Linked DNA regions of Notamacropus eugenii. The protein of the gene in region 1 interacts with the protein of each later gene in a pairwise test. Links are inferred from orthologs where the notes say so. Each region holds a gene or a part of one and is shown in the gene's direction. Other genes may lie near its edges.

The links.
Region 2: the proteins of BAG6 (region 1) and DNAJB11 interact in a two-hybrid assay, tested with the Homo sapiens proteins (2 studies listed by BioGRID and IntAct). The link is inferred for Notamacropus eugenii from reciprocal best matches to the Homo sapiens genes BAG6 and DNAJB11.
Region 3: the proteins of BAG6 (region 1) and SERPINI2 interact in a two-hybrid assay, tested with the Homo sapiens proteins (2 studies listed by BioGRID and IntAct). The two-hybrid records come from large-scale screens. The link is inferred for Notamacropus eugenii from reciprocal best matches to the Homo sapiens genes BAG6 and SERPINI2.
Region 4: the proteins of BAG6 (region 1) and EFEMP1 interact in binary tests that used the Homo sapiens proteins (3 or more experiments, as listed by UniProt). The two-hybrid records come from large-scale screens. The link is inferred for Notamacropus eugenii from reciprocal best matches to the Homo sapiens genes BAG6 and EFEMP1.

What each region holds. Positions count from the first base shown.
Region 1 is NC_092873.1:85,277,696-85,284,709, reverse strand, and holds the start of BAG6 (large proline-rich protein BAG6), read left to right. Parts: upstream 1-4,012; 5' UTR 4,013-4,147; intron 4,148-4,275; exon of another isoform or gene 4,276-4,402; intron 4,403-4,783; 5' UTR 4,784-4,793; coding exon 4,794-4,901; intron 4,902-6,713; coding exon 6,714-6,831; intron 6,832-6,945; coding exon 6,946-7,014. Other genes in the region: APOM (apolipoprotein M), read right to left, coding at 201-314. UniProt on the Homo sapiens protein: ATP-independent molecular chaperone preventing the aggregation of misfolded and hydrophobic patches-containing proteins.
Region 2 is NC_092873.1:55,002,555-55,009,477, reverse strand, and holds the start of DNAJB11 (dnaJ homolog subfamily B member 11), read left to right. Parts: upstream 1-3,915; 5' UTR 3,916-4,362; coding exon 4,363-4,430; intron 4,431-6,923. Other genes in the region: TBCCD1 (TBCC domain-containing protein 1), read right to left, coding at 733-1,068. UniProt on the Homo sapiens protein: As a co-chaperone for HSPA5 it is required for proper folding, trafficking or degradation of proteins.
Region 3 is NC_092877.1:357,004,594-357,011,936, forward strand, and holds the start of SERPINI2 (serpin I2), read left to right. Parts: upstream 1-4,317; 5' UTR 4,318-4,635; coding exon 4,636-4,903; intron 4,904-7,343.
Region 4 is NC_092872.1:650,314,640-650,321,608, forward strand, and holds the start of EFEMP1 (EGF-containing fibulin-like extracellular matrix protein 1), read left to right. Parts: upstream 1-3,961; 5' UTR 3,962-4,096; intron 4,097-5,514; 5' UTR 5,515-5,521; coding exon 5,522-5,602; intron 5,603-6,360; coding exon 6,361-6,387; intron 6,388-6,969. UniProt on the Homo sapiens protein: Binds EGFR, the EGF receptor, inducing EGFR autophosphorylation and the activation of downstream signaling pathways. May play a role in cell adhesion and migration. May function as a negative regulator of chondrocyte differentiation.

The sequences.
Region 1 (7,014 bases):
TTGGGCTTACTACTCTAAAAGTCTCAGTACTCTTTTTTATATCCGTTCCTTGTCATCACTATCCCCATATCATCTTGTACCTCCAGGTATTCCCCCAGGCTCCCCACTTTAAGTCCCTCAAAATCTCTTCTACAGACCACCAAATCCCTGCTTAATTCCCTCCTGTTGTCTTTCCCCTACCCTCCTTCCTGCCCCCATACCTCTTTTCCATTTACTTCCAGAGGACTTAATTGATAAGGCTTAGAACACTGGTAAATGGAGTCATAGAGAATCCCGGAGATGTAAAGGACAGATTTCCAAATTTGGTAGAACATCCTCAGAGAGTATAGTGCAAGGGTGGCAGCTGCCTGAAACTACTCTCCTCTGTGAGTTCTGTCCAGTGCAGCCTCTGGCCCCTTTCCTCAACCCTTGATCCCCTGGATCTGCTAATGAGTAACTAGTCTTGTTTTCCAACCCAACTCTGGGTTGTTGACAGTGTTCTGGGCTTTCCTCCCCCTCCTCAAATTACATACTAGCAGCATAACTGGGAGTTTACACCTGGCTGGGGGAGGGGAAGGGTGCAGCCTTCTGGAGGTTCCTTCATTCATTCACTGGCAGTATTTATTGTATACTATATTCATAGCACCATGTCTGGTGAGGGAGAGAGAATATAGACAGAAGTCCTGTCCTCAAAGAGCATATTATCTAATTAAGGAGACAAACACTGCAGCAAAATCATTACATTAAAAAAGTAATTATTAAGTACTTTTTATATACTGTGCTGGGCATAGAGAAAGATATATTAGATTTCAGAGGAACCTAAAAAGTTCAAACCCTGCATTTTTAACAAATAACCAAACAGGTCTGAAAAAGGAGTGATTTTTCCAAGGTCACATTACTACTAAGTGGCAGAGCTGGCAATCAATCCAAATCCTCTGACTCCAAGTCCAGTAATTTTTTTTCAACTTTTTTTTAAAGTTTATTTTTAGTTTTCAACATTCACTTCCATAAGATTTTGAGTTACAAATTTTTCCCCTTTCCTCCCCTTCCCCCACCCCAATCTGATATAGACTCTACATATACATTATACATATAGTCCTACAATATGATATAGGCTCTACGTATACATATAGGTCTGCAATCTGATATAGGCTCTACATATATATATATGTGTATATATGTATATATATATGTACATGTACATATAGTCCTGCAATTTGATATAGGCTATACATATACATATAGGCCTGCAACCTGATGTAGGTCATACATATACATACAGGCCTGCAATCTGATATAGGTGCTACATATACACATATATGTACATATACACAGAGGCCTGCAATCTGATATAGGTGCTACATATACATATATATGTACATATACATACAGGCCTGCAATCTGATATAGGTGCTACATATACACATATATGTACATATACACACAGGCCTACAATCTGATATAGGTGCTACGTATACATTCATATTAAACATTTTCACATTAGTCGTGCTGTAAAGTTCAGTACTCTTTCCATTAAACCAAATTACCTTCTGCTACCTATCCTCATTGACCTCACAATCTCATAGTGCACAAAACATACATAAATAACTATAGTGCAAAGAACAAAAGTATATGAGAGGAGCAAATAAAATGCACCTTTCTGCAAAATAACAGGATCAGTTGGGGGATGAGAAGCAAACAGAAGGCTACTATTACCTGAAGGAAATGTCACTTAAAGGTAGCTTTAGAGGATGAATAGGATTAGGAGGTAAGAAAGTTTGAGAAGCAAATAACTCCATTTTGCAGAAGCTTAAATGTTCAGAAAGAAATGCATACAAGGGTTAAACAATAGTGGGAAACAAGGATGCAAGAGAAATTTTCGAACAATAAAGCACAGCCAAATTTATAAAATCTCAGAGTTGGAACCCTACTCAATGGGGAACATATAGCCCACTATACCCCGCTCCACCCCCAAGGGCTATACACCTATACCTTAAAAAGAATCTACTCTAATCATCCTCTACTCCTGGTCATCTGGTGTTTACTTGAATGACTCCAGTGAGGGGAAACCCACCACCTAAAGAGGCACCACTCCCTTGCATTTGCAGAAGGCTCCATTAGGAAAAAACCCAATATATCTGTCCATTGCTCCAAGTTCTGACAGCTGGGGCCGCAGAGGAATGGTAGAATTACTCTAACAAATGACAACTTTTCAAATACTTGAGGACAGTTATATCCCTCCTTGAGCCTTCAGTTTTCCAGCTAACAAATCTCCTGTTCCTTCCATCAGTTATGAACATATTTGTATATGTATGTATATTAGGGACAGCTTGATGGCCCAGGCCTGGAGTCAGGAAGACCTGAGTTCAAATCTGACCTTAGCCGCTTATTAGCTGTGTGACCTCGAGCAAGTCACTTAGTCACTTGGCAAGTTTCCTCATCTAAAATGAGCTGGAGAAGGAAACTGTAAACCACTCCAGCAGTATCTTTGCCAAGAAAACCCTAAATGGGGTCACCAAGGGTTGGATGTGACTGAACAACAACAAAGGTATATGTATGTATCTGTGTATGTAAATTTCCTCCAAGTCCCTCACCATCCTGGTTGTCCTCCCTTGAATGCTTCCCAGTTCCTAACTGTCCTTTCAAAAATGTGGTACCCCAAAGTGAACACAGGACTCCATATGTGATCTGACCAGGGCTGAAAATCACAAAGCTATTTTCCACATTCTGGACAACATACCTCTTTTAATGCAGTCTATGATAAATCTTACAGGGGGAAAAAAAAAAGAGGGCCTGATCTGAGATTCAATTGGTTGGATTTAAATTGGTAATTAATAAAATTGCACTGGATAAATAATTTTTTGTCTTTAGCCCATTTTGAAGGCCCAATGTAAAGAAAAATCATCTTGAACAGTGAAAGCTATGTAAAAGCTGAATGAGCTGTTAAAGAGTAGTTGTTCTCTCTCATCCAGGTCTTCTAAGTAGAATCTTGATGACCCCTTTGCTGGGGATTTCTTGAGGAGAAGCTTTTGCTGAGGTATGGGTTGGAATAAGCTGCCTCTTAAATCCCTTACAGTTCTGAAATGGTGACCCTCCTAGCCCCAAGGGGACCTCCAAAGGTCTTGCCTAGCCACCGAGCACTACTCTCTGGATTTGTCACCTCCTCTATGGTCCAGACTTCCTCTGGTTCCCCCATTCCCTATCCCTGGTCTTTGTCCCACTACCAGCTACCACCTTCCATTTCCCTTCCCCCACCAGCATTAAGCAAGAGTAACAAAATGGCAGCAACCTCCGCCCTCAAAAAATATGGCCTCTTTACCTCTTCCCCCACCCCCTCCATTTAAGGCAGAGATGTCAACGAGTGGTTTGGCTACTCTCGTGACCCTTAGGAAGGAAAAAAAAAAAACGCAAACCCGCCCACGTATGAATCCCACCCTGAAAAACTTCGCGTTGCCCAAAAGAAATATGGCGGCTGGCTCGTGCCCCTCTGAATGAACATGGTGCGGAGCCCCAACCTTCACCGCCCCTAACCGCCTGCTTGGAAGGTTACCTAAGGAGAGGTGGAAGCGGGTTTACTTTAGGTGTCTAAAATATTGCCGTCCGATGGACGCGGCCAACCGCGAATTTCTTCCCTTTTTAGAGAAGCAACCTCCATGCCAAAGGCACAGTCCTCCCACTCACGAGAGAACAGGTCTTTTGCGAGATAGACGGAAAGCCCCAACGGGAAAATTACTTTCAGGCATTTGCTGTAGTCATCCGCTACGCGACCTCCCCACCCTCCTCGCGCTGTGGCGCAGGCGCGCACTGTAGGCTGGTAAATCCAATCAGTGGGGCGGGTCCTCAATCGTGTACGCAAGCGCAGTGTGGTTTGCGCAAGCGCACTAAGGTCCCCCGGGAGGCGGCGACGGTGGCTCCTGTGGGTGCTCGGCTTCCTCCCACCTTGGCCGAGCCCCGACTCGTTTCCTCTTAGGGGCTCCCCGGTAACCCGGGCTGCCCCTTTCCTCGTCGTACCCCACAGAAGGAAATCTTGGGGACCGGGGGAACCGGAAGTGCCGTCTCGCGACCCCCCAGTTTCTATCGGGGAACAGGAAGTGTTCGTGCGGAAGTGTGGGGGCAGGACCGGAAGTGGCGTTGCCGCCGGGAGGCCGGGGGCGGAGCCGCGGGGCAGGTGTGTGTATATGCGTGTGTGTGTATGTATGTATGTGGGTGTACGTACTTACCAGCTAGTGTGTATGTATGTGGGTGTACGTACATGTATGTATATGTGTTTGTACTTGTGCGTAGTTCTCACTGTACCACCGAGGGGAAGGGTGACATCCAGCTAGACCGGGGCCTCTCTTTTCCTTCCGTCATTGTCCCGATTTCCTGATCTGTCGCGACAGAAGCAGGCTCGCGGGCTCCCTATCGCGGTGGGCGTGGCATGGTGCGCGTGCGTGGCGCATGTCTCCCTGGTCCCTTCTCACCTTCTTGACAGAAGGGACCTCCCAATCTTATTCAGGCCTTTACCCCGCACGCCTTCCCCTCCCCCCCATCCTTTTTTCTCATTCTTGTCCTCCTTTGGGTCGTGACAGATGCTGCCTTGACGTTATTACAGGCGTTATTTCAAAGCCTCTCCTGTATTTGAGTTACTGCTCTTGTTATTCTCTTCCCCTCACCCAGGGTTAGAAGCTCAATGTGTGTGTGCTTGGAGTTGGAGTGGGGGTTGGATTCCTTGGGGAGTTGTGGTAGAGTTTGGATCAGCACTTGGAACGTAGGAACTTAGCTAGATCCTGTGATAACAATTTAGTCTTGTTTTCTTCTTCAGCGTGTTCATCATGGAACCCAGTGATAATAGCAGCAGTGCTATGGAGGAACCAGCCAACTTGGAGGTACTGGTGAAGACCTTGGACTCCCAGACTCGAACCTTCACTGTGGGGGCTGAGGTGAGAGCTGAGGGTTCAAAAATCTTCGGAGTTTCTATAAAAAGCTTTTCCTTAATCACTTTTTCATCCTGAGAAAAGGACCCACCAGATTCTCTGTCTGTCTTCTATTTACATGTATTATTCATATTGAACATCAGTTAGTGGATTTTAGAACTGGAAAGTAGTTTAGAGATCATCTGGTTCTCTTCATTTTGTAGATAAAGAAACATCTCATGAAAGTGTTCTGATTGTTGTCTGGGTCACAGAGAGATGCATTTCCTAAGAGGACAGTCTCTTTATCATATGAATAATTATGTTCTTAGGAGAATCCTAGAGGCAAAAAAAGAGTATGAATTTCTTGTCCTTGAAGAGCCTCCAGCTGTAATGGAAAAAGATATGGAACCTGTGGGGGGTGAGGGTGGGGGCAGGGCACGCTGGCAGAAACCACAAGTAGACTTGAGAAAGTATGAGGGTAATTAGGGATGTTTCTTTCCTTAACTTTGCTGGCTCATAATAGTTTGGCTCTCTAAGGCAAGGCCAACAAAACTACAAGGCTTCCAAGTCCCATCAAGCTGGAAAGGCTTTGATTACGGATCCAGCAGTGTACTAAATATTTGTCATTTGAGAAATACTCAGAGGAGGTTGATCATCACAAGATTGGCCTACAAATGAATTTTTTGTTTACAGTAATTTATTAAACTATTAAGTAGTAGAATAGTTGTGATCCATATCAGTAGAGAAAGTATAACATGGATGAAAGTGAAGAACCTAGAAGTAGGGTTGTTTGGGGATATTCTCAAGTTTTGAAATCTCACGGAGAAAAACCATTTATCACTTCAAATCATGCCCTGGTTTCTGGCACAGGGACAGAATAACTGAGTTAGGATACACCCTAAGTCTGGTTTAGTTGATCAGTATTGTGGAAATAATGGTATACTTAGAGTTAGGAAAGATTTAGGATTGATAAAATCACCAAACATCTCTAAACCTAGATTTCCTTATGAGTGAACTAGAAATGATAAATTTATAATACCTCTCTATGTTATTTGCTTTTGCAAAACTGTAAAATGCTCTATAAATGTTTATTTTTACTATTGTTGTTAACTTGATACAAAGACAGCAACGTAAGGAAGAATATTTTGTATGTGTATGTCTATATATACACCTACGTACATAAACACATTTATACATGTATGTGTATGTCTACTTATACATAGATAACACAAAAAGCCTATTTCTTTGGACATGCACAAGTCATTAATCTCATCTGTTAAACTAATCTCATCTGATATCCAAACACAGTCTGGGACCCTGTGTCTGATTACAGTTCCTTTTCCCTCACAGAATGTTCCCTTATTAACCATACTTATATCTATGGTAAGGTTCTCCCTACCTGTAACTCCAGACATAGAACCAAAGGGAAGGGAGAGAATATAGGACTTAACGGGACTCTGTTGTTATGTCTTAATTCTCTCCTGGGCTAGCCATTGAATTTCCATTTAAAACCATTGCTGTGATTTCACATGTGTAATTGATATCATATTGTTGCCTCTCAGTGGGTGTGGGAGGGACGGAGAGAATTTAGAATTCAGAATTTAAAAGGAAAATGTCAAAAATAAATAATAAATTGCAATTTTAAAAATTGCTGTTTTCTGTCAGGTATTTCTTAGCCCAGAACCTTGCAGGCAGTGGCTACTTCATAAATGTAATAAAATGGGCAATGATTTTTATAACTGTTATGTGACTCACCCCCCCTCTACCCCCCACTAATTGCTTGATATTCTGCATTACATATTCTGTGACCTTTCTTCCTGTTCCTTTTCATCTCTGCAGATGACAGTGAAGGAATTTAAGGAGCATATTGCTGCCTCGGTCAGCATCCCTTCTGAGAAACAGCGACTCATATATCAGGGGCGAGTTCTGCAGGATGAGAAGAAGCTACAGGAATACAGTGAGGGGCTAGATGGGGCTTCAGGAGAAGGATTATTTGCTGGTTGGGGGGAGGGTTGAGGTATTTAACTGACTTTTCCCTCACTCTTCTCTTCTCTTTTCTCATTTACTACAGATGTTGGGGGAAAGGTGATCCATCTGGTGGAGCGGGCCCCTCCACAGACCCAGCCTCCATCCTCTGGGG
Region 2 (6,923 bases), about 30 Mb from region 1:
ATCCATTGCGACTGCGCAATAAGATATAAAAATGAGATAATGAAAACTCGGGAGGTTATTGCTGGCAAACTGCCTTCTTTGTCTGTTACCCTATAAATCAAGGGGGCATTGGTCAGTAAGCGGAGAATCTGACAATGCAATGCTGTGCTTAGAGGGGAATGCACAAGCTGGAATGCTGTACGCGCATGATGGCCCGCCCATCAAGGATTAGGGGGAATCTTCAAGGGGAATACATGTGTCCTTCCTTGACCAGCCCCCATCAAGGGTCAGGGGATGCTAGGAGCTGGAACTTCCATTCTCACCGGTCCCTGAGAGAAGAGTTGTAGGGAAGCTATAGGAGCTGGTGCTTCCATTATCAGCAATCCTTAGACCAGAATAAAGTAATATTTAATCTCTTATTATGTCTCTGTTCCTGTCTTACTGTCTGTCTGAATCAAGAGTGAATGTGCTAGAAGCCCTCCTATGTGTGCTCCCACCTTACAATTAGTGTAGTGTGTTGCCCAGCACCCCCCACTCCAAACTGTTTTCCTTCTCCATGGGGATCCCTGCTCTGCTGCTGCTGGAGAAGGTGATTACAATGATGTGGGATGGGCTAAGGTTAATTCTGAACCAGAGACGCTGGGGTCCTCACTGCCAACTGCTCTGATGGCCTCCCCAACCTATACACTGCAATTGTAGAAAAGATAGTTTCTCTCCTGTTTGAACCCCAAAATACTGGGCCCAAAGGCCTACCTTACTCCTCTGCTTCTCCATATCCTCCTCACACGTGCAGCTAGACATCAGGTCAGCCCATTCCAGACGCTCCTCTGGGGTCCTTGGCACCAGACTATCGAAGATCTCAAAGTAAAGCCAAGCAATGTCTTTGGCTAACTGTAGCTTCCCACAGGCAATGTGCCTCCATGTGGGCCAGAAGAGGCGTGGGTAACCTCCCTCCCTGGCTCGGGTTCGAACATATGTGGATATCTTTCTGAGATAATGAAGGCTGAATTTGGCTGGAGGAGGGAGAGGCAAAGTGCCCACTATAAACGGTTCTGTTCTCACCCACAGGTGGACAGCTGACTGCTCCATTTTAACTCAGACACCATCTGTGTCTCAAGAGGCTCCTTTGCAAATCTAGGAAACAAAGTTTCTGTGTAAATTAACTGGAAACAAAAACATACATACATTTATCATTGAGGCGCTGACAACATAGTGAACTATTTTTAAATGAAGTAGCACAGAAAGGCCGGCAGTTTGGCTATACTGAATTACAGGCAGCTGGGACTACTTAACAAAACAATTCCTACCTGTATGGTCCATGCTAGCCGTTTGTGCCTATTTGGTCAAGCCATCCTCTATCACAAGGTGCCCAGCCCACAAGAAACCCAGTGTGTTTGGCTGAAATTAATGCAATGATTTTATAAGATAAAAGAATTAAAACTAGAAGGAAACTCAGTCGGGGAGTCTACTCCCTTCATCTTATAAGTAAGGGATTTGCCTAAGGTCACAGAGGTATTATAAAGTCCTGTTGGGCTGGAGGAAGTCATCAGATCATGGAAATGGTTTAAAAGCAGTTTGTGTGCTATAGACCTCAGAGTCTTCTATGATCATACTCTTGTAAGATGATCTCACAAAGAAGAATGAAAGATTATGGGGACTAAAGCCAGCCTGAAGAGAGTTTGCCAGGAGCAGAGGAGGCAGTTACCTCCAGGGCATTAAAGGTGACAAAGCCCAGAAGACAAACGGAAAAGCTGCCAAAGTTTTCACAATCAAATTTTCTCTCCGTCTGCAACAGTGGAGTCAGTGTGCCTGGACTCTGACAGTGACCCTGGCTGGGCTTTTAGGGTTGTAGAAGAAGGCTAGATTCAGGTAAGAGTGCAAGAAGGAGGCACACACCAAAGCAAGCACCATTAGGAGGGTGATGAGGGATTTCCCTTCAAGGAGGGGAAATATCAATGGTGGGAAACAAAATCTCAGCCCCTATCAATACCAAACACAGGTGAGCAAGAGAACATTGGTGGCTGCTGCCCACCCACCCAGGTACCAACTTTACAACTTCCCTGAGAATCAGCCCCAAAGGCATCATTGGCATCCTCAGGATCGAGGGGATTAGCAGCAAACAGGCAGCCTCTGACAACCAGTGTTTTTTTCCATTGGACCACATCTTTACCACTACACAAATGACTGCATCTAAGGTGTTTGTTGGCTTTTAAAAAGCCTGTGATTTGGCAGAAGAAAATGCCACTTTGAACAAGGCTCTCTCCTACATGGTGTCTCCCATCCAAACAGTCGGTCAATAAGCACATATCAAACATCTCCTACGTGCTGGGCACCGTGCTAAGGGTTGGGGATACAAAAAGTCCTTCAAGAGTCTTTGAAAGACACAAGAGATGACCATCTTCAGTGACCCAAGGACCAGAGACACCAAGTGAGGCATGCAGCAGGGCGGTGCAGGCTGGATGGCAGCACTGACCACTACAATAGAAAAGCTTCACAAGGTGAAGCTCACACAGTTGGAATGAATTCTACTTCTTAAGCACACATCAACCAGGCCATTGTGCTGAAATCTTTCCCCTCTGGAATCTTTGGAAAACAAACCACCTGAACAACAAAGAGGCTAAAGGAAACCGTCTGTCACCTGAGAATGGAACGAGGGAACCAGACATGTTTATTCTGGAGAAGAAAAGACACAGAGGGAACATGACAATTGTCTGTATATACTCGAAAGGTTGTCATGAGGAAAAGGGATGAAACTGGTTGTGTTTCATTCCTGAGGGCACAATTTGGATCAATTGATGAGAGCAGAAACAGATTTCAGGGTCAATACAAGTTTCCTGCTTGGTGTCCCCTGGCTTCCCGCATATGCCCCCCTGAATGAGAAGTTCGACTCCAAACTTTCTCCTTTGGTTTGGTTTTGAAATTATCCTGGGAGGGGCAGGATCGTGCCTTTTAAGGCTGAAGGGGCAAGCTGTACAATTGGAGACAGCTTCCAATCCCTCCCCCATCTCCCCAGGGCCTCTGGGATCCTCTGGACCCCTGGGATTCCCACCCGAGGCAAGTCCAGGGGCACAACTTGGGGGGGTCAGGGAGACAGACTTGGGTCCCATGTTAGGGGGGGCGCTCCCCAACCGGACCCTCCCTGCTCCCCGCTCGAGAAGGCCACATGACCATCCCCCAACTTGTCACCTCCAGAGGGAAGCCCACCGAGCCCCCTCCCCCCCAAAGGAGGCCGTGGGATCACCTCCAGGAAGACGGCACTACCACCCCAATTGGGGGGCTGCATGACCCCCCACTTTACAGGAGAAGCTGTGATGCCCCAGCAAATGAGACCATAGGACCCCCTCCTCAAATGGGGATAATCTGAGACCCTCCCTCTCCAATGGGGAGAAACTTGGATCCCCCTCAAAAGGGGAGGCCGGGGGGCCCCCTAAAATTGGACGGCATGGGATGACCCCCCACAACTGAGGGAGAACCTGAGATCCCCCTCAAATGGGGAGCTCTGGAGCCCGCCTCTCTTAAAAGGGGGGGTATCATGGGTCAACCTGGGACTGCCCTCCGAAGGCGTAATGACCCCCACCCTCCCAGACCACCGGCCCTGGACGTTACCTGCAGGAACCGCCCGAGGCAGAGCAGGGGGCGGGACGAGAGGGACTGCCCCGACATCCCCAGCGCCTGCGCAGAAGCTTCCTCTGCGGAGGCTGAGGGGAGCCACGGCGCAGGCGCGCAGGCACAGCAGGAGACACTCCAGTCCGCCGGCAGATCTGGAGCGGCCTCGGAAGGCTCCTGCGAGACGAATTCGGCCCGGTCTGCCGCGAGATCACGTGGTGCTTCTCGGCTCTCACGTTGACAATGCCCCCCTCGGAAGTCTGTATCAGTGGTGAGGGCTCAGTAAAGATTCAGTTGCAGTCCAGCCCTGACTTTGAAAAAACCTAACCTTCCTGTGTCCCAGTCTAGGACTGCCGTAAAACTCCCGATGATTGGTTCGGGATTAGGTAAGACGAGCCATCGCTTTTAGGGATTGGCAAAGCGAGACAGGAGGCGGGGCTCACGAAAAGCGCTACTGCCCGCAATTGGCCAGCAGTCCGTCGTTTTGCTCCAATCCGAGAGCCGCGTATCTCTATGGGAAAAAGGAGGGGGCGCTGCGACGCCGGTGACGCTGCCGCCTGTGATTGGTCGACCCTAGGATGCCGCTCTCCGGGTCCGTCCCTCCCGGGAACGCGAGCTAGGCGTTGAAGTGTCCGTCGGTGATTGGTCGTTGCGCCGGCACGCGCTGATGCCCTGGTCACTGATTGGCCTGGCGGTGCATCGGCCCCGCCTCCCGCGGGGAGCGGGGACTCCCGGGATAGGGGAAGAAGGTGCGGGCTGTCGCTGAGGAGACTGACCATGGCCCCGCATAGGCTGGGCGGCTTGTGCCTCCTGCTGCTCTACATGCTCGGAGCCGTGATGGCGGGGTGAGGAGAGACAGCCTCGGCGCGGAGGGCATGAGGAGGCGGGGCAGGAAGGATCGGGGGGGTTGAGGGGCTGAGGGAGGGAAGCGCTGCCGGTGATTGGGGGTGATGGGGGAGGGGACGAGGGGGTCTGAGGACTGAGGGGGGGCAGGGCTGTGATGGGGAAGGAGTTGGGGGCCGTGTGAGGGAGAGACTGAGGGGGCAGGGGTGGAGGGGCTCGGAGCTTTGCTGGGGGCAGCTGAGGACTGAGAGGTCAGGGTTCTCTGTGGTGGGGGAGGGGATGAGGGGGCAGCGTCCAGGACTGGGGGGCAGGGCTGCCGGTGCCAGCAGGAAGGGAGGGGGCTGGGCTCCCCGTCCTGGCTAGAGAGGAATGGAAGGAGGGACCTGGGGGGCGCTGGGGGAGAGGTGAGGGAGCCCGTCCTGGGGGGTCACATCCGGTACTGAGGTTGGCCTGAGGCAGGATTGAGCAGGTTGAGTGGATGAGGGAGACGGGACTGGAAGGTGAGGAAAGTGGGGGCGTCCTGGGGGGCAGAGTAGGGGGGCCGTGCTGAGAGAGGTGAGGGGGGTAGGACTGCCTGGGGGGGACCATGTTTAGAGAGGTGAGGGGGGTAGGACTGCCTGGGGGGGCCATGTTTAGAGAGGTGAGGGGAGTAGGACTGCCTGGGGGGTGCCGTGCTGAGGGAGGTGAGGGGGGTAGGACTGCCTGGGGGAGGTAGAGTGGGGGGACTGTGCTAAGAGAGGTGAGAGGGGTAGGACTGCCTGGGGGAGGTAGAGTGGGGGGACTGTGCTAAGAGAGGTGGGGGGGGTAGGACTGCCTGGGGGAGGTAGAGTGGGGGGACTGTGCTAAGAGAGGTGGGGGGGGTAGGACTGCCTGGGGGAGGTGGAGTGGGGGGACCGTGCTAAGAGAGGTGGGGGGGGTAGGACTGCCTGGGGAGGGCCATGTTTAGAGAGGTGAGGGGAGTAGGACTGCCTGTGGGAGGTAGAGTGGGGTGACTGTGCTAAGAGAGGTGAGGGGGGTAGGACTGCCTGGGGGAGGTAGAGTGGGGGGACTGTGCTAAGAGAGGTGGGGGGGGGTAGGACTGTCTGGGGTGCATAATAGGGGGACCATGCTAAGAGAGAGCTGAGGGGGGTAGGACTGTCTGGGGTGGGGCAGGGCTCTTATGAGGAGGGGTCCGTGGCAGGTGCATTACTAGAAATGTCTGGAGATAGACTTGTAGGAGCCGTGGTCATTACCTGTCAGGTGGGAACAGAAGCGTGTTTTGCTTGGCCCCGAAGGACTGAATTAGGAGCCAGCAGGCAGAAGTGGCAAAGTGGCTACTTGAGCCCTGAGGAAAAGGGAAAAAACAAGAATAAAAACTGCTAATGACTAAAGCTATCCGAAAGTGAGACGGAGGCCTCCAGACGTTATGGACTGCAGGCAGTAAGGTCTTCAAGAAAAAGCTCAGTAACCAGATTTATAAGTTAATGTTGCAAGAGAGCAGGGTCTTATTCAGGTTAAGGTTAGAGTCCTTCCAACTCCTCTTCTGTGGTTCTGGGGTAGGAGGGAGCATGACCAGTGGAAGACTGAGGAGGTGAAAAGGAGCTGAGCTGAGAAATTGATGGGCGAGTCACAGGTCTGTGCTCCCCTTTACTGGGGGACTGGCCTATGGACAGACTGACTAGTGTGGGAGAAGGGAGTTGATGTCATGTTTCCCCTCTGGAGGGAATGTCTTTTTAAAAAGCTGAGGAGTGACTGTCAAGCTGAGTGGTGTGTAACGGAGACACAAACTACACTGAGACAAAGGAAGGGAGAACCTTTGGGAACCATTGTCCTTCCCAAACCCAATGGAGTTTATTGGACATCATCAGCATCTTGAGTTCCTTGTGTCCCTGTCTAGGCCACCTCTGAGTGCCAGTGTGAAGTAGTGCAGAGAGCACAGTTGGAGGCAGAAGACCTGAGTTCTAGTCCTTGTTCCATCATTTATTAGCTGTGTGACCTTTTAGATGTTACCCTCCCTTTATCTGTAGAATGAGGATAATAAGGTGTCTGAATGAAGGCAGGGGACCAGACAATATGATCTAGTAAGGTGCTTACCGCTTTAGGATTCTATGGGAGGTCATAGGTAGTCATTTCTTTAGTACCATGAGATGATTTCCTCCAAAGTGTTCTATTTTTTCAACTCAACCAGCACAGAAGAAGTGTATCTACTATGTGAAAAGTACTCTGCTAGGCAGTGGGAATTAAAAAAAACAAACCCAAAACTCTGTTCCCAAGGATTTTACATTCTGAGGGGTTAAAAATAAATGTAGAGAGAAGCCAAACTGAATAATTTGAGAAAGAAGAGAATATGAAAAACTGAAGAACACTAGGAAAGGCGTCTGGTTGGAGATGGTGCCTGAGCACCACTAAGTCTTCCTTATAAGTAAATATAATCTCACCACTACTTAGAAATAAAGCATTAATGTGTCTCAAGGTTTTTAAGTGTCATTGAATTGTGGAAGTCTGTGTAGAAACTG
Region 3 (7,343 bases), on another chromosome or scaffold:
GTCCAACATTCTTATTTACAGATGAGAAGACCAAGGGCCAGAGAGTCTAAGTGATTTTCCCAAAGTTACATAAGTGGTAAATACCAGAGGCAGGATCTGAACTACGGTCCTCTGTCTCCAGGGTCAGTGTTCTTTTCATCCTCCCACACTGTTTCCTTAATATCCTCATCAGCGATTTGGACAACGCATGTTTACCATGCTTATAAAATTGGAAGATGATACAGTCAGTCACCAAGCATTTACGAAGCACCTACTATGTCCTAAGCACTGTACTAAGTGCTAGGGCTACACAGAGAGGAAAGAGAAAACCACCATCCTTGCCCACAAGGATCTCACGGTCTAATAGTGGAGATCACATGCAAATAACTATACATACATACTAGATATGTACATTACACATAGAAGGTCATCTCAGAGGGAAAATAGGAGAAGAAATAGTGAGAAGTAAAAAGCATCCTGCAGAAGATGGGGTTTGAAGTGAGTCTTAAAGAAAGTCAAGGAAGCCAAGAGGTAGAAACGAGAGAAGAGAGAATTACAGGCATGGGAGCAGTCAGTGAAAAGACAAGGAGTGAGGAGAAGACAGAGCATCCTGTGAGAGTAACAGAAGCAAAAGAATAAAGGGTAAAGAAACAGTTAAGAGGTAGAGATGATATGTCAGGTGACAGAGACAGGGTCTCAAAAGACCTGTATGGAAAAGAAGGTTGTACTGTATCTAATAACAAGAGATTTAATAAAGATGGACTTAAAGCTGTATATCTTAATTAAAATTAATAACTACAATACAATGGATCTGTGGTGAGATAATAGCTTACCTGAAAAATGGCTAGGTGTGTTAGTGAACAAATGAATGGATTAGAAAAAAACACATTTAGATGGTTACTATGTGCAAGAGCCTAGTGACTAGCAAGTTTGCGATGGATCTATAGTATAATACGACCATTTGAAAGTTAAGGTGGCAAAGTTCTCAAGGACATTGTCCACACTCACTGTTGACAGTACCCATAGTCCAGCTACCCTGACTTCTATAATGTGATAGAGATTCTTTTCTTTTAAATACAGTCATACTATATAACTGCATTCCCTTTTAGACTTGGTTCTACTTGATTACTTTTGATTACTTTTGATTTGATTACTTTTCTCATGAGTGTCATTAAATATTGATGATGGCATCCAAGTGGAATGTGTTAAATTCTCATGTGGAACCACAGGAATAAGCTACTAGTTCAATTCAGAACCAACTGCATGGTCTTCCAAATTCAATTTCCAGTCATGCCATAATTTAAACAGAATGAAGAATAATGGTAACGTTTGTTCAATGGATTCTGAGCGGTTCATTTTTTTGTGCCATTCCTTTTATTACTCATTGAAATGATTTTCTCTATCAGTTCTTCCACCTCTTAAGGGCAATCAGTTAATGTTATCATTTAGTGCTCTCATAACAGAATTCTTGAACACCTGCTGTGAGTTTGGAAAAATTAATCAAGTAACCTTCATGATAAATGTACTTGCCCTTGCCCTTCTACAGAGCCAGGCTCTTAACAGTTCCCAGGAAGCTCATTCTAAGCATAACATCCAGTAACTAACCATCGGACATTTTTAAAAGTAAGTATGTTGATCTCACACCTGAAACTCCTTTAGTGTAACATATGGGTGTGATAGGACCCCATATGATGATTCGGCAGAATTGAAAAATGTTGGAATTCCTGAGGGTATAGGAAGTATGATTGAAGTTTTAACAATTAAGGGATTACTTTATCATCTTAATGGATTTCACTATGGAAATTAGATAGCAAATTTGGATTCAAAGTTGTTGAATCAAGACCTTTCACCAAATTGTACAGCATGAAAGTACAGACCTACTCAGCTGTCACCACTCCAGGGGTAAGTGAAAATGTTTCTAGAAGGGGATAATTTTCTGATGCCTAGAAATGTCTGATAGAGGAATAGTAAAGAGTCCTGTACTTGGAGTCAGCAGACCTGGGTTCACATCTTGCTTCAAGAACTTACTAGTCTTGTGACTAGTCTTAACTTCTTATTTCCTTAGTCCATCAGCTATGAAATGGTAGGGTTGAACTCCATAGCATATAAGGTCTTTTCTAATTATAAATCTGATTTCCAATGTCTTATCTTTTCCCCCAATTTTGTGGGACATTTTTTATTTAAAATTTTAGTTCCAAATTCTATCCCTCCCTCCCTCTTCTTTCCCTTCACTGGGATGGTAAGCAATAAGATATGTTATAAGTATGCAATCATGTAAAATATTTCTGTATTAGTCATTTTATATAAGAAGACCCCAATAAAAGGGGAAAAATGAAAGAAAGACAGTGAATAATTGCACAATTCAGTCTGTATTCAATTAATATCAGTTCTTTCTCTGTAAGCAGATAGTACACTTCATCATTAGTTCTTTGGGATTGTCTTTGCTGAGAACAGCTGAGTCATTCATAGTTCTTCACTGAGCCACATTGCTATTGCAGTGTGCAACGTTCTCCTGGTTCTCTTTACTTCATTATATCTATTCATGTAAGTTTTTCCAGCTTTTCTGAAATCATTCTGCTTTTCATTTTTTACAGCACAATAATGTTCCATTACAATCATATACCACAGCTTGTTTACTCATTCCCCAATTGATAGGTATCCTTTTAATTTCCAATTCTTAGTCACCACAAGAGCTGTTATAAATATTTTTATACACATAGGTCATTTCCCCCATTTTTTTTTATTTCTTTAGGATATACACCTAGCAGTGGCATTGCAGAATCAAAGGGTATTATAGCACTTTGGGCATAGTTCCAAATTGTTCTCCAGAAGAGCTGGATTAGTTCACAACTCCACAAATAGTGCATTAATGTCCCAGTTTTCCCATATCCCCTCCAACATCCAACATTTTCCCTTTTTGTCATATTAGTTGCTCTGATAGGCATGAGGTGGTACCTAAAAGTTGTTTTAATTTGCATTTCTCTGATAAATAGTTATTTAGAACATTTTCTCATATGACTATAGATAGATAGCTTTGATTTCTTTGTCTGAAAACTTCCTGTTCATATGTTTTGACTATCAATTGGGAACAGTGTCTTAGCTTGTAATGAGCATCATATTTATACAAATTATGTTTGTTAGGGTTAATGATATCATGTATTTTATATTTGCTTATATTGTTTCTCCCCAAAGAGTGTGAGTTCCTTGAAAATGGGGATTATTTCTATTGTGTCTTGTAGGTCCAGTGCCTGGCAAAGGACTTAGCACACAGTAGAAGCTTAATAAATGCTTGTGGCTTGATTTTCAGATTATGGTACAAGCAACATAAAACATGTTACACACTTGAAAAATATTGTTTGTAATTCTAATTTGTACTTGGATGCAAAATAGATCCCTAATGGGGTTGATATTAGATGAATTACAAGCATTTGTATCATTTTTAGCTATTTGCATAATAGCAAGCAGATGTTTTGTTCAGAAACCTCACAAAAAACCTTCTTTCTCAGTATGTCAGGACAGATTTGTTCACAGAAAATGTTGCATGTGAAACTTCTCTGGCCAATTTGATTTTCTCATTAAGACAGTAACATCCACAACCATATGTATCAATTTATTCCTTAATAAAATATTTGTTTGGTGCTTTAGAATATTCTCTCATTTTCTTAACAAAATTTCTTTCAATATGCTCTTGAGATATCTCTTTCCTATCATGAGATATTGATCACCAAAACAAAGGGATTTTCAAATGAGTATATAAAACATATTCTGGATAATCCAAACAATGGTTGCACCTGGATTAGTTTTTTTTAAAGAATTTGACTTCTAATATTGCAACTATCTGTACATATAAAACTGTATTATTCCAATGAACTATATAACTGCAACTCTGTAATGTCAGCAGTAGCTAGAATCCATTCAAATTGTGTCCATTTGAGATCATTTTTCTTCTCAGGCCATAACACATAAGACTAATTCAAATTAGGGAACTCTAGTGACTTTGATATTAAAATTCTAGAAAAGCATCTCACAAATGTGGTGAAGGATGAGAAGGGATCATTCTGAATGAACAGAATTCCTGACAAAATTCCAGAACCATGGCCCCTTGGGAAAAACTACATTGAAAAATGACCAATAAATCTACCAGTAATTTCTAATGTACTCAGTCACCAGGCACCTCTCTAGGTAAGTTACAGATGAGTGGCTGATCTTCCTCAAAAGTACCCTGCACTCATGAAGTCAGAAGTTGAGACTTTCAATCCAATCTAATCTAATAAACATTTATCAAGCCCCTATTATTTCCAGGCACTGTACTGAGGCTGCAGATACAAAGGAGGAGACCCCTCACACAAAAAAGCAGGAGAATGGAGAGTGGGTATCTGGTGCAGGGGCTTCTTGTGAAGGAGTTCAAACCAGGCAGAGTAGCAGATGCAAGAAACATTTTAAAAATAGTGACAAGGAAAACAAGATTAAATCCACCAGTCCTGTTCCTCCTAAAAATAAAGATGTATGATGAGAAAACCCCAAATTACAGGGACTCTGTTGGCTCTACATCACTATCTTGTCCATTGGGAATGGAAGGTTCTTCTTGATAATTAAATTCAGTGACTTTTTGGTATTTTGTTGTCCACTTAATTTTGATTCTCCCAATGCACAGGCATGATTATGACTCAGACCAGGTTTTGGAGATTCTTACTGACCGTTTGTGGACCGTTCCTCATCCGGATTCACAGTTCCAGTCTTTTGGCGGACAGCAATGATAGGTTTGCTCTGGACCTTTATCAAACCATCTGTTCATCTTATGAGGAGAATATTATATTTTCCCCAGTTGGTGCAAGATTGGTTTTGGGAATGGTACAGATGGGGGCTAAAGGAAAAGCCCAGCACCAGATAAGAAGAGCTCTGAGACTTCAAGAAGATTCAGTTGGTGAGATTTCCTTAGGGAGAATCATGTTCTATTTTCTCTGTGGCAGATCTGCCAACTCAAGTATGAGGTATCCAAAAATAGTGACATAAAAGGTTTTGGGGCTCTCTAGAGAGTGTGCAAGAGTGGAAAGACCCTTGTTTTGAAGACAAAGGGTCTGGGTTTATATCCTGACTGACATTGGAGCCTGTTTGACTTTAGGCATATCAGTTCAGGTTTCAGATCCTTAATTTTTAAAGGAAGCAGCAAGACTCTGTGTTATCTAAGGTCCCTGAGAGAAGAATTTTTTTTTAAAAGAGAAATCCAGCATTCATATACTATGAGCCTGTGACTAGAAATGGCAAAGATACAAAAATATAGATTTGCTTGGGACCTTTATCAAACTGTCCATTTATCTCAGGAGGAGAAGATTATGGTTTCCCCACTCAGTGCAAAAGTGGTTTGGGGAATGATACAGGTGTGTGTGTGTGTGTGTGTGTGTGTGTGTGTGTGTGTGTGTGTGTGTGTGTAAGGAGCAAAGGCAAAGAGGGAAAGATACACAGAACCAGAGAGAAGATAGGATCTAGAGCTAGGAGTGCCTCATTGAGTCCAACTCGCTCACTTTACAGATAAAGAAACTGAGGTCCTCAGAGGTTCTGAAAGGATCAGTCCAATGTTCCTACAGGTGAGGCAGTAGGTGTCAGAGTCATGATTCAAACCCAAGTCGTTCTGTTCCACAATCACTACATTTCCTCTCCCCTGCTGCTGCTGAGAAGCCTTGTTTCCTAGAAAATCAAATAAATAGGCTTTCATTTCTTAGAATGAGATTCATACAATAACATTCCATTAAAGTCTTTATTAAATACAGGTCATTTATCTGCAAATTAAATTAAGTCTATAAAGCTGATTATGAAGACACACATATACATACAAATGCAACTTCTGTTAGATGGTGACATTTTCCTACTGACTTCCAAGAACTGTGATTTATCAAAGGGCTGCTGACTGTCACATGTTCTTAAGGCCTAAGTACATGACATAAATCCATTCGTTCAGACAAATGATTATGAATTGCATTTTTTTCTTTTTCAGAAAAGCTACTGAATTGCAAAATGTCAGGAAATCAGTTTCAAACTCTGCCAAATGCCTTTTGAGTCTTAATTAATTCTTTGGAAATATTCTGCCACTCCTCCCCCACCCAGCAAGTCTTAAGGCTAATCTCTAGAGTTTCAAAGAGGGAAAGTAAAGTCTTCCATGTCCTGTGTTAGTCTGGTCACACCAGTCCTTTAAATAGCCCAGAAGCAATTCCTGAAACCAGCCAAGTGAAACAAAAGATGATGATTAACTTCCTAATGGAAGGAAGGTTGAGAAGGAAGTGCTGCAATTCATCAGGAAATGGGAATGATTTTTCCCCAAAGTGGAGTCAGAGCTGGAAGGGATTTTTTTTCTCATCTGTAGAATGTGTCTAAGAGTATTTGCCCTTTGTATTTTGAGAGTTTATTACTCAGTATGAAATGAAATCTAAAAATATATGTTTTGTTTTTCTAAATTGTTGCATCAGTGAAAGCTACTTGTAGCAACACTCATCATGACTCTGGATTTTATACTCTAGAAAGGAGTTATGATATAGTTGGCCAGCACCAATCCAGTCTACTGAAAAAGAAAGCTTGTCAAGAAGACAAGTTCAAACTCTTCCTCAGGCACTGATTTAGCTGAGTGACCCTGAGCAAGTCACTAGACTTTTCTCAGCCTCAATTTCCTTATATATAAAATGGGGCTGATATCAGCTACATCACAGAGTTGTTATGAGGATCAAATGAGATAACATATACAAAGGACTTTACAGACATCTAAGTACAGTATAAATACTAATTGTGGTCACTATTTAATTGTTAGTGTCTCCTTTTCTGTCTCCTCGTTGAGTGTGCACCTGATTATCCTTCAAGTCTTTCTTCTGGGACCTCTTCTCTTTCCTCTTTACATTACCTTGCTCGGTGATCTCATAGGTCCTGTATATTCAATTCTCATCTCTATACAAATGATTCTCAGATCTATTTATCCAGCCATAACCTTTCTCTTGACTTCCATTCTAGAATCTCCAATTGCCTATTAGACATTTTGAACTAGGTATCCTATAGGCAATTGGAGAGTGTTGACTTACTGATTTTACCTTACAACATCTCTTCTACACATCCTCTTCTCTCTTCTCACACTACCACCATGTTGGTAAAAACCCTAATTACCTCATGCCAAGACTATTCCAATAGCCTAATGGTTAGCCTACCTCAAGTCTCTCTCCATTTCCCTTTCTCCTCCACTCAGCCGTCCAAGTGAGCTTTGCAAAGCACAGGTAGTTGGACCATGTTAACAACCTTCAATTAAATGAACTCCAGTGGCTCCCTCTTGACTCTAGAATCAAATACAAAATCTGATTTTGGTTTTTAAATTCCTTTGTAGCCAGGCT
Region 4 (6,969 bases), on another chromosome or scaffold:
TATAAATATACCATATTGAAATTTATCATAATTACATTACACATAATTGAATTTTATAATTATGATAGAATTGTATATTATTAATTGAACTATATGTTCTATATTCTCTAATAATATAATATATAGTATGAGATAATGCATATAATGCTATTTAAATATACAAAAATTTTAATGTTCTAAGACATATAATTATCTGTATTATGTTATACTGTTATTATATTATTATATATTATGTAATAATATATAGTTATTTACATAATTATAAAATATAACATTTCAATAATATAATTTCAATAACTATAGAATTTCCATAATAATTTCAATAGCTATAGAATATATACTTCTATAATATATTGTTGCATATAAATACAATATCCAATATAATAATATTATGCATATAAACATATATGCTTATATACTAATGATAGTATATAAGAAATACACAAGCTCATGCTCACCAGAGATGTTTGCCTTTGCCATACAGAATGTCCAATACGGAATTTAAATGGAAATGGGATCCCCTATAAATGGTGAGGACCTATTTTCAAATGATATTTTGCTGATATTTCAAACTGTGGAATACTGCAGAATTTCCTACATCAGATACATGCCTCAATCGATCGGTAAATATTTATCAAGTACTTACTATGTGCCAGGCACTTTGCTAAGCACCAGTGATGCAAAAAAGAGGCAGAATATAGTCCCTGCCCACAAGGATCTAATCTCTAACTCAAAAGAGTTCAACCTAACTACCTACAAAGGAAAAACTAAGTGGATAAAGAATGTTTATTATCCAGATCATGATATATAATTAGATGGAAAAGCCTTAGAGCTGGTCCATCCAATCTATTCCAATCTAGCAAGCATTCTTTAAATGTCTTCTATGTTCAGGCAAAGGACTTGAAATTAAAGCCCCCTTTATTAGAGACGGGATAACAAATTATGTTATACAAAACTAATAGAGAATTATTGTGCCCTAAGAAATAATGAAATGTATGCTTCAGAAAAACCTGCAAAGACAAATATGAACTAATCTAGAGTGGAGTGAGTAGAACTAAAACAATTTATACAATAATAATAAAATTGTAAAGAAAACAACTATTAAAGGCTTGAGAACTTTGACCAAGGCAATGACCAATGATGATTCCAGAGGAGTGACTATGAAGCTACTCATCGCTTGAGAAAGAGGTAATGAGCTTAAGAAGTAGAATAAGACATAGCCAATGTAGTACTTTGTTTTGCATATTTCTGTGAATCGTTTTTTCTTTCAATGTGAAGGATGAGGGAAAGTAGAATAAGAAAAAAAGGAAAAGGAAGAAAAGAAAAAGAGAGATGAAGGAAGGAAGAAAAAGAAGAGAGGAGAGAAAGGAGAGGAGAACAAGGAAAAAGAAAGGAGAGAAAAAGAAAGGAAAGGAGAGGAGAGGCAAGAAGAGGAGAGGTGAGGAGTAGGCGAGGAGAGGCAAGGAGAGGCGAGGAGAGGCGAGGAGAGGAGAGGAAAGGAGAGAAGAGAAGAGAGGAGAGGAGAGGAGAGGAGAGGAGAGGAGAGGAGAGGAGAGGAGAGGAGAGGAGAGGGGAGGGGAGGGGAGGGGAGGGGAGGGGAGGGGAGGGGAGGGAAGGGAAGGGAAGGGAAGGGAAGGGAAGGGAAGGGAAGGGAAGGAAAGGAAAGGAAAGGAAAGGAAAGGAAAGGAAAGGAAAGGAAAGGAAAGGAAAGGAAAGGAAAGGAAAGGAAAGGAAAGGAAAGGAAAGGAAAGGAAAGGAAAGGAAAGGAAAGGAAAGGAAAGGAAAGGAAAGGGACATTGAAGCATCTTTTTTAACCAATAAACATTTATTAGTCACTTATTATGCACCAAATATGCATAATCAAACAAAACAAGTTCCTACCTTGGTCATATCCAAAAATATACGTCTCATTCTGTATTTGGTGTCTATCACCTCTCTGTCAGAAGGTGGGTAACCCACTTCATCACTGGTCATCTGGAATGAAGGTGCTCATTGCAGTTCTTTTTTTTGCAGGGGGAGTGGGGGGAGGCAATCGGGATTGACTTGCCCAGGATCGCACAACTACTAGGTGTTTGAGGCTGGATTTGTACCCATAAAGATGAGTCTTTTTAACTCCAGGCCCAGTACTCTACACACTGTGCCACCCAGCTACTACTTACTAGTGCTGTAAAATGAATGGGTTGTTTGTACAAAAATACTTATGACGCTGTTTTTTGTGGTGGCAAAGAATGGTACCTGAATATGTATGGAGCATGAATATGTTGGAATACTTATGAATATGATGAAACATCATTGTGGCCATAAGAAATGAAAAGGGGATAGTTTCACAGAAACTTGGGAGTATTTATAGAAAAAGATACAGAATGAAGTGAGCAGAGCCAGGAGAACAATTTATGCAACATCAAAAGTGTAAAGACAAACAACTTCGAGCTCTTTTTAAGAATTCTGTGCAAGGGCAGTTAGATAATACGAGATCTAGAGCACCGGGCCCTAGAATCAGTAGGACATGAGTCATCTTTTTTAAAGAAAAAAAACAAGCAGGGCATCTTTGATAGTTACAGGTTGAATTATATACTTAAAAAATACAGCAAGCTGTACATAATAGCGATCTGCAGTTTCATACATAATCCTCTTTTATGCATTTCTACAGATACAGAATTGCCCAGGTTGTAAAGTTGAAAATAAAAATAAATATTATTAAAAAGAAATTTTGCAGAGTTTTTAATGACCCTGAAAGTCCCATCTCTTTAAGATCCCTATCTTTTGCTGACTGTGTATTGCTGCAAATCACAGAATACCAGCATACAAAAAATTAAATTTATGAATTACCCAAAAGAGAGGCTCATGAAGGGCCAAAGTAGACTACAGTTGATCAGCAATTAATTTTGCAGTGGTGTGATGTTATCAAAGAGAGGTATAGTCTGAAAACGAAGTATGATGGGTCCTGAGGTAAGAGTGAAAGATAGTGAATAGTCAATGTACCCCATCAGTAGCCCCCGAAGGACCAAAGGAAGGCCCTCTGCACCTAGGGTAAACCCTTGTGGAAATTTATGAGAGATGGGCATGAATAAGTAGGAAAAGGATGAGAAGGCGTAGTATAGTGGGTTGCTATCTGAAGATATGCGTACAAACTATTAGTCTGACTTTAACATGAAAACTTTAAGAACAGATGTTATGATTTGACAGACCTGGGAAGACTTCCCCTTCCCCAAAGGGTACTTCTTGCTAATGCCTGAAATTCTACATTAGGGAAGGGAAGACTGCAAGAGAGAGGGTTGTTGTGTTCATCCTTCTTTTGGAAGAGGACGGTGACATCAAGATGAAAACGTGACTTGCAGTTGACTTTGATCTGAGTGAGGGAGGGCTGTGGAAGATCACCAGCCTCACTTTCTCCTCCTGAGCCACCTGGGTCCAGTGATCAGATATTCATCAGGATGACTGGAGAAGGCCCAGGGAGACCTTGACCTTTTAGGCTAAGGCCTTTTCAGGTACTCACTAGAGAGAGGGAGAGAGAAGGGGAGGCCAGAAAGGGAAAGGAGTAACTTGTTCTTTAAAAAAAAAAAATTTTAAGAATAATCCTAATCACTGTAAAAAATTCTGTGTCCAGTGTATAACATGTTTTTAACTGAAGGACCGGAGAAAAATGAAGTCTTATTTCAAACCAGGAGAAAACATAGCCAAATGTGCCCCAGTCCAGCCTACATTTTATAGTTCCCCGAAAGGCAAAGCCCAGAGGGAGGGAGGGAAAGAGGGAAGAAGTTGAAGGTGGACTAGAAAGGGGGGTTGGGGGGGAAGGAGCTGAGGCGCCAGGAGCAGGGTGTGGGGAGGCGGGGCGGGCGGGTCTGGAGGAGGAGGAGGAGGAGGAGGAGGAGGGCGCGCGGAGAACAGAGCCGCGGTCTCCCGGAGGGGCTGCCTCACTTGCACCGGCCCTGCGCCTCCCTCAGTTCCCTCCCCCTTTCCCTCCCTCTCTCCTCTTCCTCCTCCTCCTGCCTCTGCTGCTGCTGCCAGACCTCACCAGCTCAGACTCATCTAGCTTCGCTCTGCATCGCACACACCTTTACGGCCCCGGGCTGGAGGGGAAAGCGCACCCTTGCAGGTAGGAGCCCTCCGGAGCGATCTTAGAGCTTTTAGAATTTAGTTAGCAACCGGCCGTGTATGCACAAGTTCATAGGTGGGTCCTGGTGAGAAAATGGAACTTGCACTGAGGGAATGTGGCAGCGACTCTGCTGGCACACAGGTCTGCTGGCACAGGTCTGCGTATCTCTGCACCAGTTAAGACTTTAGGTATCAGGTGTGTACACGCTGAGTGTGTGTGTTTAGAGGTAGCTGATATTACAGAATAGGAGTGTCCATACATTGGAATTGCATTGCATTTGCATCAATGTGCGTTTTCTTCGTTCCATATATGTGTGTGTAAATCAGCACGTTTGCGTGGATGTAAATATGATTTTGTATATTTCAGATTGCTTGCGTGTGGTGTGCTTTGTAGGTATGTATGGGTCTCAGCGTGAGTGTGCTCTAAGCCAAATCTGTAGTCCTTCAAAAACTGAGTTAATTAAAAGTAGGAGCGCTTAATTCTGCGGCTCTGTCCCCCGGAGTTAGGTAGGCTCCTCCAAAGAAGCTGGAAAACACCTCCATGCCCGCCCAGACCACAGCCAGCCGCGCCCCCAACCTTCCCAACCCCCAACCCTGGCCACCCTACAACGTCTTTCTCTGTGCCCTCTGCCTGGAGACTATGCAAACTCCTGGGTCTTATGGGGGGTAGGGGGGAAAGACGATGAAAAAGGGAGCCAGGCACTCCAGGTTACTTATCTTCTTTGCGTGAGACTTGTAAGGCTATATACACACTGTTAGCTGAGAACCTCTGTGGAAGATCCAATGGGAAAATTTGTGCGGGGGAGGGGAGAGCTGCCAAGAGAGGACTACCGAGATGGGTGGGTAACTAGTAGGGTGAGAGAAGAACATGATTAAGAGATCTCTACAAAAATCTCGAACTAAGGAAATGTGGGGGTGCCCCCCACCACGGACTTTGCAGGGCTTTGCTCTGGTTCTTAGAAAGACAGTGAAAATCTTTAAGAAATCTGAAGTTGTGTTAAAAATATCCCCCCAAACACACACATATACGCACACCTCCTCTCTCCAAAAGACTAGTAAGGAATGTACATTACCTCCTTTGAAACCTATGATGGTTAATTCTCTTTCTAAGTGTGATATCCAATGAGATGGCCATCTTTATTACTTTGGGACTTTGTATATGTAGCTCTGTCTTCCAGGTGAAGAGGGGTTTCTGCTGCTTTTTTTTTTTTTTTTTTTTTTTTTTTTTGCTACTTTTGGTGCCTAGTTTGGCGAAGAGGAAGGGTGGGGTAGAGTCAGATGAGAAAGTGAATTCTTAGTACAGTGTGGTAGACAGCCTCCCCTGCCCTCTATCTTCCTTTAGAGGTTACATTGTATCTCATGTCTTGTCCTTTCAATCAACAGATATTAAAAATCCATTTGTCTTGTGTTTCCTTTGAGATTCAGGATGTTGAAAATACTCTTCCTGACCACTTTGACTCTTGCTCTTGTAAGGTCACAGGAGACAGAGGAGACCATCACATACACGGTAAGGTTTGATGGAATTTAAGATAACTTCAGTTTATAGAGAGTCTATGACAGGAGAGAAATTACCTACCTCTGGAAGCAGATGTGGGATTACTCCCACAGGTCTTTACCACAATGTGTGTAATGAATTAAACAATGCTCCAGCATCGGAGCAGATCGTTCAAAAGTTTATTTACATCATAAACTGAGATAAGAACAAAAACTTAATATGTTAGCCAAGGCAAGAAAAAAACTGATTTATACACTGATGAAAGATATTTATACATTCTAGACATATTCATTAAGCCAGAAAAAGCTTGAAAGGGTAAGTAGGAAGTCATTCACTAACCGATAAAGCCAAAAACTTAGTCACAGGTCGCTCTCAATTAAAATCTAAGTAGATGGAACATTACAGAAGTACCTTAGATCATGTATACATTTAACTGGAGTTTCTCATATGAAGGGAAACTAGTTTATTAAATGTCTTATAGGCTATGTGTGTTTAATAATGTCAGCAGCAAAGTCAAATGTTTTGATGCATTTAGAGTCTCCCATTAGTGAGAGACTTTACTTGTGTGTTAGTCAAAACCTAGTGCTGGGTAAAAAATTGTCTTAAAATATACTTTGTGCAAGTAGGTTATATGAAATTTTTATTAGAATACATAAAATTTCCAATAGTTCTTTGAGAAAATAATTGTATAGCTGTGACCAATGGTTAATAAAATATTGGAAATATCTTCTCACTCCTCCCATTGCCGGGAATTGATGTGGTAAGAACAGAGGAGGGTCGGGACTGCCTCACTTCCGGTAAGTTTTTCACCCTGCTTGTGTTTTCTGCTTTCTAATAATCAATGTTATGAGGAGAATAATAACATTTGCCCTGGCTTAAAATGATCAAAACAACATTGATCCCAATTTGCAAATATAGTAAGTTCTCACCAATTATTGTGGAAATTTTTTTAAATTTTCTTAAAAGTGAGTAAGCATTTTACTGATAATAAACATCATCTCACTTTTTCAATATCATGTAATCCTCAAAATGCTAATTTTTATCTGGCACCATGTCTTTGTGTCATTCAGGCTAATTATAATGAAACAATTTATTATGAATGATTTATTAATTTAATGATCAGGTGATGATTTCTTCCTCTCCTGGGACTAAGCCAGGTCAGAGAAATACTAAATTAGTGCATCTCCTTTTTTTAATCTCTAGGCTTTAATAATGTTCACTTATTAATTCAGTCCAAAGTCACTCTTTCAGAAAGCTAAAATTAAATTTGCTTCCCCTTTATCCAATTATTTAATAAAAGACTGCTGCTTTGATAAATTAGTTAACATAAACTAAAGAATGAATTAATCTTGTAAGTGAATATTTATCATTCACTTATA